Linked DNA regions of Saccharomyces cerevisiae S288C. The gene in region 1 interacts genetically with each later gene. Each region holds a gene or a part of one and is shown in the gene's direction. Other genes may lie near its edges.

Evidence for each region. Genes that interact genetically often act in the same process or in processes that back each other up.
Region 2: mutations in SUB1 (region 1) and SSL1 together harm fitness more than expected from each alone (negative genetic interaction), as found in Saccharomyces cerevisiae (3 studies listed by BioGRID, with this or other methods).

The regions. Positions count from the first base shown.
Region 1 is NC_001145.3:347,053-351,993, reverse strand, and holds SUB1 (chromatin-binding transcription coactivator SUB1), read left to right. Parts: upstream 1-2,471; coding exon 2,472-3,350; downstream 3,351-4,941. Other genes in the region: D-arabinose 1-dehydrogenase (NAD(P)(+)) ARA2, read left to right, coding at 21-1,028; YET2 (Yet2p), read right to left, coding at 1,131-1,613; copper chaperone CCS1, read left to right, coding at 3,734-4,483. UniProt on the Saccharomyces cerevisiae protein: Plays a role in the release of TFIIB from the transcription complex during transcription initiation. Binds to TFIIB and specifically inhibits the formation of the TBP-TFIIB-promoter complexes.
Region 2 is NC_001144.5:157,228-161,934, forward strand, and holds SSL1 (TFIIH/NER complex subunit SSL1), read left to right. Parts: upstream 1-2,821; coding exon 2,822-4,207; downstream 4,208-4,707. Other genes in the region: CMS1 (Cms1p), read right to left, coding at 1-503; THI73 (Thi73p), read right to left, coding at 707-2,278; mitogen-activated protein kinase kinase kinase SSK1, read right to left, coding at 4,528-4,707. UniProt on the Saccharomyces cerevisiae protein: Component of the general transcription and DNA repair factor IIH (TFIIH) core complex, which is involved in general and transcription-coupled nucleotide excision repair (NER) of damaged DNA and, when complexed to TFIIK, in RNA transcription by RNA polymerase II.

The DNA.
Region 1 (4,941 bases):
GTAACAACGGAGACTATAAGATGGTTAATGAAAAAGTGAATCCATTCGACTTAGCTTCGGTTTCTCCTTTAGTCTTAGGAGGTGCAATACTGAACCAGCAATATACAGATGAGCCAGAATCCATTCCACTGGAAGACATAATCAAATACGCATTTTCGCATGGTATCAATGCAATTGACACTTCTCCCTACTATGGCCCTAGTGAGGTTCTTTATGGTAGGGCACTGTCCAATTTAAGGAATGAATTTCCCAGAGACACTTATTTTATATGCACAAAGGTTGGGCGTATTGGTGCGGAAGAGTTTAACTATTCTAGAGATTTCGTGAGATTTAGTGTTCACAGATCGTGCGAAAGATTACACACTACATATCTCGATTTGGTGTACTTGCACGATGTCGAGTTTGTCAAATTTCCAGACATCTTAGAGGCATTAAAGGAATTGAGGACCTTGAAGAACAAAGGAGTTATCAAAAATTTTGGCATATCAGGCTACCCAATCGACTTTATCACCTGGCTTGCTGAGTACTGCTCTACCGAGGAAAGTGATATTGGGTCATTGGATGCAGTATTGTCCTATTGTAACTTGAACTTACAAAACAATAAGCTATTGAACTTTCGAGAAAGACTGCTACGCAATGCTAAACTGAAAATGGTTTGCAACGCATCAATCTTGAGCATGTCGCTACTAAGGTCACAGGAGACAAGACAGTTTCACCCGTGTTCTCATGAATTGAGAGAATGCGCATCTCAGGCTGCCAAATACTGTCAAGAACAAAATGTCGACTTAGCCGATTTGGCCACAAGATACGCGATTTCGGAATGGGTAGGAAAGGGACCCGTTGTTCTTGGAGTCAGTAGCATGGAAGAATTGAAACTTGCTCTGGATAATTACGAAATTGTGAAATCGAATGGCAACAGATTATCTTCTAAGGACGGACAACTAGTAGAATATATCCAAAAGAATATTTTTAAAGAACATTTTAATGAAGAGTGGTCTTCAGGTATTCCTCATCCAGAAATGATATAATCACCCCAAAAAGAAAAAAAATTTGTCAAATTTTAGTTTATATTCATTTGTTCTATTTACATATGTAAGTTTTTCCTTTTCTTCTTTTTTAGTTTTTTCCTTTTAAAATTTCTTCTTCTGCAATTCCTCTAAATATTTTTGCTTTCGTCTTAACTTTTCCTTCAGAATGTCATCTCCAGCCTTCATTTTGTCATTCCATTCCACTATTCTTCGCAATATACTCATCACGGTGAGTATACATATATAAAAGTAGATGATGAAGCCTGAAATGTAAACATTCCTTTGGTTATATGCCCTTGAAGCCAGTGCATCCACTGGGGTTACACTATTTATTATATAGGGATTTTTCTGGTTGCGGTACGTAGACACTCTGATCTGTGACCTTTTCCATGAATCGATGAACAAAAGACCAACGAAGATCATGATTCCAACCATATAAGTTCTGAATTTCTTATTAGTACTTATGATACTGTAGCGTATATACAGCCACCTTCTCATACGCTGTGGAAGCGGAAGTACCAAAATAAACAGAATGGCCATTTCGATGACCAGTAACGAAAAGAGTACTGCCAAATAAACACCCATCACTAACTCGACTTTGAAATTTTGCTTAGTATTTTTCTATTCACATAATTCATGCTCCAACGAACACTCAGCGTATTTATTTACTTCCAGGCGGCTAGCTTTTCTCAGAGAAGGCCAGCTGTACATATATTGCTCTATCAACCCTTTTTTTTCCCTTGTCTTTTTTCCAAGAAAACCATTTTGCCTAATTGACACAAGCCTACACAACCAAGTTAGCCGTTAAACACAGCAGACGTATCTCGATCTCGTCAATGATATATACGTGTTTTTTGGAAGAATGAGATGGGATAGTAATACACCAAAAATGGGCTGATCATCCGATGTTATTATCAACCATTGGTGGATGGTCAAGACAGCGGCGCTAAATGCCACAGCCTCGATCCGGGTAATACTTATTTTGAGTTTTTTCAGCTGGGACGAATTATCATCACTAACAAGGACAATGAGTATAGCACTGCACACACACACGTTTTATCTTTACGTTATACGTAATTTTTCCCTCCTTTTAATGATGAGAATTTATTAATACATTCATTTGAATGGGAATTTTACTTTTACCTTCCTCAAATTTCTTTATCAAAACTCAAGTTTTCCTCTCTTTTCATCTCCTCTTCCTCTCCTTTCTTTCTTTCTCTCTTTCTTTTTCTCTCTTGGCTTGCCTTCTGCTCTCTATTCTTGATGAAAATTCTTAATTTGATCCAGGGAACGATAGGAAGACAAGAGAAGAGGTTGTAAACGTGAATTTTGTAAAAGTCCCCAATCAAAGAAACACTTTTGGTTGCCCACTTAAGAAAGCTATTTAATATTAAATCTTTCCGTACACATCAATTTTTCGACATATATACAAACACAAGCGCTATGTCATATTACAACAGGTATAGGAACAAAAGAAGAAGCGATAATGGTGGAGGAAACTTAAGTAACAGTAACAATAACAATGGTGGTATGCCATCTGGACTATCCGCATCAGATGCAATTTTTGATCTGGGTAAAAATAAGAGGGTCACGGTAAGACAATTTAGAAACATAAATTTAATTGATATCCGTGAGTACTATCTGGACTCATCTACAGGCGAAATGAAACCTGGGAAGAAAGGTATTTCGTTGACAGAAGATCTATACGACGAATTGCTTAAGCACAGATTGAATATTGATGAAGCCTTGAGAAGGCTAGGATCCAAGAGACCAAAAACCAAAATGGTTAGACTATTGTCCGACGACGAATATGAAGATGATAACAATAATGACAGTACTAATAACGACAAGGATAAAAACGGGAAGGACAAGAACAGCCCAAAGAAGAGGAGAGAAGATAAGTCCAAAGCATCTAATGAGAGTCATGACTTGGAGCCACGTTCAAAGAAGAAGAAACCTGCTCCACCTACTCTACTTCCACACGAGGAAAACATTCAAAACGCTGAAAGAGAAGCCAATGCTACTTTGATCATCCCAGGCCAGGCAGGTAGGAAACAACAAGAGGAACGCAAGCAAAAGGAAAAAGAAGAGGCAGAGGAGGCAAAGGCAAAAGCAGTTGCAGAACAAGAGAAAGAGGCAAAGGCAAAAGAAAAGATAGCTGAACCTGAACCTGAACCTGTACCCACACTTCAAGCTAAAAAAGAAGATATTGTCTCCAACATAAACGAGTCAAAAGATGCAAATTCTAGTGACGAAGAATTTGCTCAAAGCTTGGAAGCTGAAATGAACAAGGCTGAAGACGACATAAGTGAAGAAGAATAATAGTCCTGGAAGTTGAGCTTGCTTATGTCAACGTCTTCCATCCAACGAGCTTATTAGAGAATAAAAAAAAAAAAAAAGAAATAAAAATATATACTTTTCTGTTTGTCAAATTCATTTTAACAATTCATATAATCAAATATGTGATTTATAATAACCAGACAAAAGTTAATCTTGTACATTTCAGTATAATATACTATCAAAAAAAAATTTGCGCTTACTAAGCATTTTCCCCGTACAACTAGTACACAGTGAGAATGGAAGAGGGTAAAAATTCATTGTTCGGAAAAATAATATATTAAAGGCAAGCCAAAAAAAAAAAATTTAGACTAAGAAAAGAATAAAGATATCTTTGCAAGGCAGAAACCCATTCGATCAGCACAAAAATGACCACGAACGATACATACGAGGCTACTTATGCCATTCCCATGCACTGTGAAAATTGCGTGAATGATATAAAGGCATGCCTAAAAAATGTCCCAGGAATCAATTCATTGAATTTCGATATAGAGCAACAAATAATGAGCGTGGAAAGCTCAGTAGCCCCTTCAACCATCATCAACACCTTGCGAAACTGTGGTAAAGACGCCATCATAAGAGGCGCCGGGAAGCCGAATTCTTCCGCGGTCGCTATCTTAGAGACCTTTCAAAAATATACTATAGACCAGAAAAAGGACACCGCCGTGAGGGGCCTAGCAAGAATCGTTCAGGTTGGAGAGAATAAGACTCTTTTTGACATCACTGTAAATGGCGTCCCAGAGGCGGGAAATTACCACGCCAGCATTCACGAGAAAGGCGACGTCTCCAAGGGCGTGGAATCTACTGGTAAAGTTTGGCACAAGTTCGACGAACCCATTGAATGCTTCAACGAGAGTGATTTGGGCAAGAACTTGTACAGTGGGAAGACCTTTCTGAGCGCTCCCTTGCCAACATGGCAACTTATCGGCCGCAGCTTTGTCATTTCCAAGTCTCTGAACCACCCAGAAAACGAGCCTTCCTCCGTTAAGGACTACTCATTTCTGGGAGTCATTGCGAGAAGCGCTGGTGTGTGGGAAAATAATAAACAAGTGTGTGCGTGTACCGGAAAGACTGTTTGGGAAGAGAGAAAAGATGCCTTGGCCAACAACATCAAATAGAACATCCAAGATAGCACAACGTAGCGTAATACAGATATAACATAATATAGTATACTACATCATAACCACGTGATGCCGGACATGTACATACGCATGTGGCAATATGCCAAAGCCGGTTTCCAATCCTACTTCATATTGCCTTGTCCCTCCGGTTTCGCCGGCAACAACGGCCCGGAACGTACCTAAAGAGGTATTTCGCTCTTGGTATCCGTACCTCACTTATCTCCAGCACCTATCGTTCCTGGCCAGACGGCCGGAGTTGATCTTTCGTCTTTCTCCGGAAACCACGGCGTTCAGCTACGCATTCCGTAGCAGCCAAGCCGGTTCTTGACACCATCTGTCTACGTCATACATATCGGCTCTTTTTGTCTCTAATAAATTAAAGAGAGCCATTTATACGAAAAAAACACCTTTTTACGAATTTCAGAAAATCAGAATGGGAAAAACAAACTGCGGAA
Region 2 (4,707 bases), on another chromosome or scaffold:
GAAAAAACAATTTTTTTTGGAGCTACGGAAAATTTTTGAATAAAGGCTGGGAAATTGCTTAATCTGCGTTCAGCGTCAAATTTTTCTGTCGAAAGAAAATCATTTCTTTTGAAGTAAAGTTCCTCTAATTCTAAAACACTCAAGTCAGGATTTTTTTCTCGTATCAAAGTTGTTAGGTACTCAATAATTTTTTCTGGTGAACTTGCTGGAAGTGCTTTTCGTTGTGAGACGATATACTGGCTTTCCTCTTTCTTTTTCTCAATTAGCTTTGATTTTTTCTGTAGCTTTTTCTGTCTTTTCGAAATAGGTCTATTCGAATCATCTTCTGAATTTCTCTCCTCTTTTTTCCCATCTATATCATCAACGTCATCGTCATCTTGTTCTATAGACCTCTTTTGTACCTTTTTGGTTGGGGGACTACCATCCTTGGCGTCAAAAATTACTTCATGTTCGGCATCAAAATCATAGGCGAGTCCATCATCTAAATCATCTGGATTAGACATTTTCAGCTCAATTGTCCTGACGATATGTTTAGAAGTTAGTAGCGGGGATCAAATTTCGACTTTCATTGCCTCATCCATGGTCATCTCAAAAATTTTCTCTTCAATTTTTTGGTAAATACCAAGTGCAATGAATGTTTGGGTGTCTTTGAATATTGAATATTACAGACTAAAAATATTATATATTGTAAATTAAAAGTTGATTATTAGTAAATGTACCTGAAATTTCTGTTTTCGATATCAGTCAAGTCCAAAAATTGGTACTTCTTCCTTTCTTGACCTTCTTGTTCCTTATCACGCTTTTCGTTCTCCTTCTTGCAAATGTAGCCAATGTATAATTGTAGGGGAACACAAACACACTGAGTGACCAATAAGGCAATCTTTGCTGGTATGTAACGTGGAGCAGAGTATGCCCTAAACATCTGTGGAGCAATAATACAGGAGACATTGTATACAATCATTGTAATAGCATTTCTAAAAACTCTTTTGGTGTAACCGGAGGTGTTGCATGAATTCCAGATGTAAATATTGGTAATGACACAGGAACCACTGTAAAGCAAGTACAGAGAAAATAAGTTACCGATCTTATGGGATAAGGGTAAACTGATAAGAACGATACAACCTATAATAGCTGGAATATACATAGATGTGGTTATGAGTGTGATATGACCCCAGCGGGACAACATTTGAGTTGTTATAAGAATAATCATAGCCGTAATGGCACCAATAGGCAACTGCAGTAATGCTGTTTCGTACTTGTCGAAACCAAAAGTACCAGTGATGGTCACTGAAAATGTACCAATGGCACCAGTAGAAATTTGAGAACATGCAGTTAATAAAAGCATCGGCCAAGTAAACTTATCATGAAGGAATAGTTCTTTAACTTGCTGCTTCTTAAACTTCTTTGTTTCCAGGCCAGTTTGGTTAGCTCTGATATGCTCAACAACTTGAATTTTTTCCTCTTTGTTTAGGAACCAAGCATTGGTGACGTTATCTGGAAGGTATAAGAATGTTAGAACACCAAACGCAACTGTAACCAGACCAACGACCAAAAACATTATTTGCCAAGAGGTGAAAGCGGTACCATGATAATGTAAAAAGCCAAAAGAAATTAACCCGCCCACAATATAACCTGTACCAGCCTGTGTGGCCCAGAATCCAATTCTTGCACTCTGTTCAGATTTAGTATAGTACATACCACTAATAGCGATACAACCAACTGCACTCGAGGATTCAAAGAGACCTAGGAGAGTACGAACGACCATCAACGAGGCGTACGTCTTACAAGCAGCATGGCAAGCCAACACGATACCCCAGACGGTAATAAAAGTACCTAGGATTTTGGAAATGGGGAATTTTTGAATTAAGTAAGTGACCACAGGTTCCATGAAAATGTAAGCAGCAGAAAAGATAGTACCCAAATTAGAAAATTCGTTACCTTTCAAATGATCTTTGATACCCATAGATGCAGCGTAGTTCAGCAGAGCCTTATCCAAAAACATCAGAAGATATGTACAGCATAAAAAGGGCAGGATGAAGAGGTCAACTTTTCTCAGGACCTTAGGAGATAATTCATGGGAACCATAGAAGTTGGCTTCTTCGCCTGCTACAACATCGTCTTCATTAGCCGTGGAGCTTTCGTCGAGACCGTTCTGTTTCAGGAATCTTAAAGCAACGTCCGCATCGTCTACATTAATGCTCGAGGTACTTACGGAACAACTATCAGCGTTAGCTGCCTTCTTCTCCACGTCCATGGATCGTTGTGACATGTTTTTCATTGTATTGATTTGCTGACACTCTCACTACTTCTCAGCAACAACAAAGTAAACTTTAATCTATCATACTTTGAACTATCTTATATACGTGTATATATGCACCCGCTGAGATGCTCATCGAGATTGCTCATCACCTCTGAAAAGGCTGTCTGTCACCACCATGTTTTCCGCCGGACCAAATGACAGTTCCTTAAGGGAAACTCAAAGAGACTATATTAACTAAGGAGGATCAACCAGATATGCAAAAAAAACAAATAGTTATGACGGCACTCGAACCAACCAAACACCACCCTATAATTAATGTTGATAATGATAGCGACTCGAAATTTGCCAATAAAACCTGTCTATTACGCGTCATCTACTTGAGAGTAATATACTGGAAGTTCGAGATACTCCGCACAGGGTCTGGGTGGTAGGTTTCTTTGCTATTGTATAGTTTTTCAAGATACGTAAAAGGTCTTCATCTTATCTTATATAGATGCAGGTGATTACTAGTGGGGCAAGTCGGCAGCTAATTGCGTGTGTGCGGAAGGATTGTGCAGTAGAATGGCTCCTGTAGTTATTTCAGAATCTGAAGAGGATGAGGATAGAGTTGCCATTACTAGAAGAACTAAGAGACAAGTTCATTTTGATGGCGAGGGAGATGATCGTGTAGACCAACAGCAACAGCAGCACAGTTCAAGCCACAGGGATAGGGATAAACATGTGCAGCGTAAGAAGAAGAAAAGGCTCTCGAATAGAAACCTGCAAGGTTCAAATGGTGGGTACGCTTGGGAGGATGAGATCAAGAGAAGTTGGGATTTGGTGAAAGTGGACGATGAAGGGGATATGGCATCTCTTGTGGCTAGCATAGTCGAGGCCAGAAAGAAACGTACTGCTAAGAAAAACATAACGCCATACCAAAGAGGTATTATCAGAAGTTTAATATTAACACTAGATTGTAGTGAAGCTATGTTGGAAAAGGATTTGAGACCAAACAGGCATGCCATGATTATCCAGTACGCCATAGATTTTGTCCATGAATTTTTCGACCAAAATCCGATATCTCAAATGGGTATTATCATAATGAGAAACGGTTTGGCACAACTGGTCAGCCAAGTTAGCGGAAACCCGCAGGATCACATTGATGCGTTGAAATCCATCAGGAAACAAGAACCGAAAGGAAACCCTTCATTGCAAAATGCATTGGAAATGGCAAGAGGCCTTTTATTGCCTGTTCCTGCGCATTGTACAAGGGAAGTACTGATTGTATTTGGTAGTCTTTCCACAACTGATCCTGGAGATATTCACCAAACTATCGATTCGTTAGTTTCTGAGAAAATTAGAGTGAAGGTTTTGGGGTTATCAGCTCAAGTGGCCATATGTAAAGAATTATGCAAGGCAACGAATTATGGTGATGAATCCTTCTATAAAATTTTACTCGATGAAACTCACTTAAAGGAGCTATTTAACGAGGCTGTTACCCCTTTACCCGTTAACAAAATTAATAAGGGTTTCACACTCGTAAAGATGGGGTTTCCGACAAGGATATTCGAAGATACTCCAACTTTTTGTTCGTGCCATTCCAAGTTAGTTTACGGCGGATACTTCTGTCCCAATTGTCATAGTAAAGTTTGTTCATTGCCCACAGTCTGTCCATGTTGTGACTTGATGCTAATCCTTTCTACCCACCTGGCCAGATCATATCACCATCTGATGCCGTTAAAAACATTTGCAGAAGTACCTACAACAGAAAAATTTCGATCAGAAGACTGCTTTAGTTGCCAGTCAAGATTTCCCATACTGAAAAACCATAAAAATGGTAAACTACTGACAAGTTCTCGCTATCGTTGTGAAGATTGTAAACAAGAATTTTGTGTTGACTGCGATGTGTTCATCCATGAAATCCTTCATAACTGCCCAGGCTGTGAATCCAAGCCCGTAATAACTTAACGAAAATCTGTCAGCGTATAACACGATCACTCTTCCATCATATAACAAATCCAAGTAGTAGAGAACGAAATAGTTTTTGATGGACATATAACTACATAATTATTACAAAAATAACCTCATTTAATGTCCTATTGTTTATTACGAGAAAATCTTAATAGCACTTACGGCATTAAGAATATTTATTACTATTTTCAATTTATCAGGCACTTATTCAACTAAAAAAAAAAAAAAAATTCTTTGTTTTACAATAATATTAATAATTATTTTGAATAAATATCGTTACATTCTATCATAATGTCCTCTACACGGTACAACCAAACTCACAATTCTATTTGAGTGGGCGAGAGGTTTGAATTTTTTCTTACTGGGCTGTGTGTAGGGGTCATAGATGTCGCTTGTTTGAATGAGTGAGGGTTGGAAGGTGCAATAGGTTTCTGTGGAGATTTAACCAAAACACTGTCGGTCATCCGGCTTTCTCCCTGCTTCCAGCTGTCAAAATC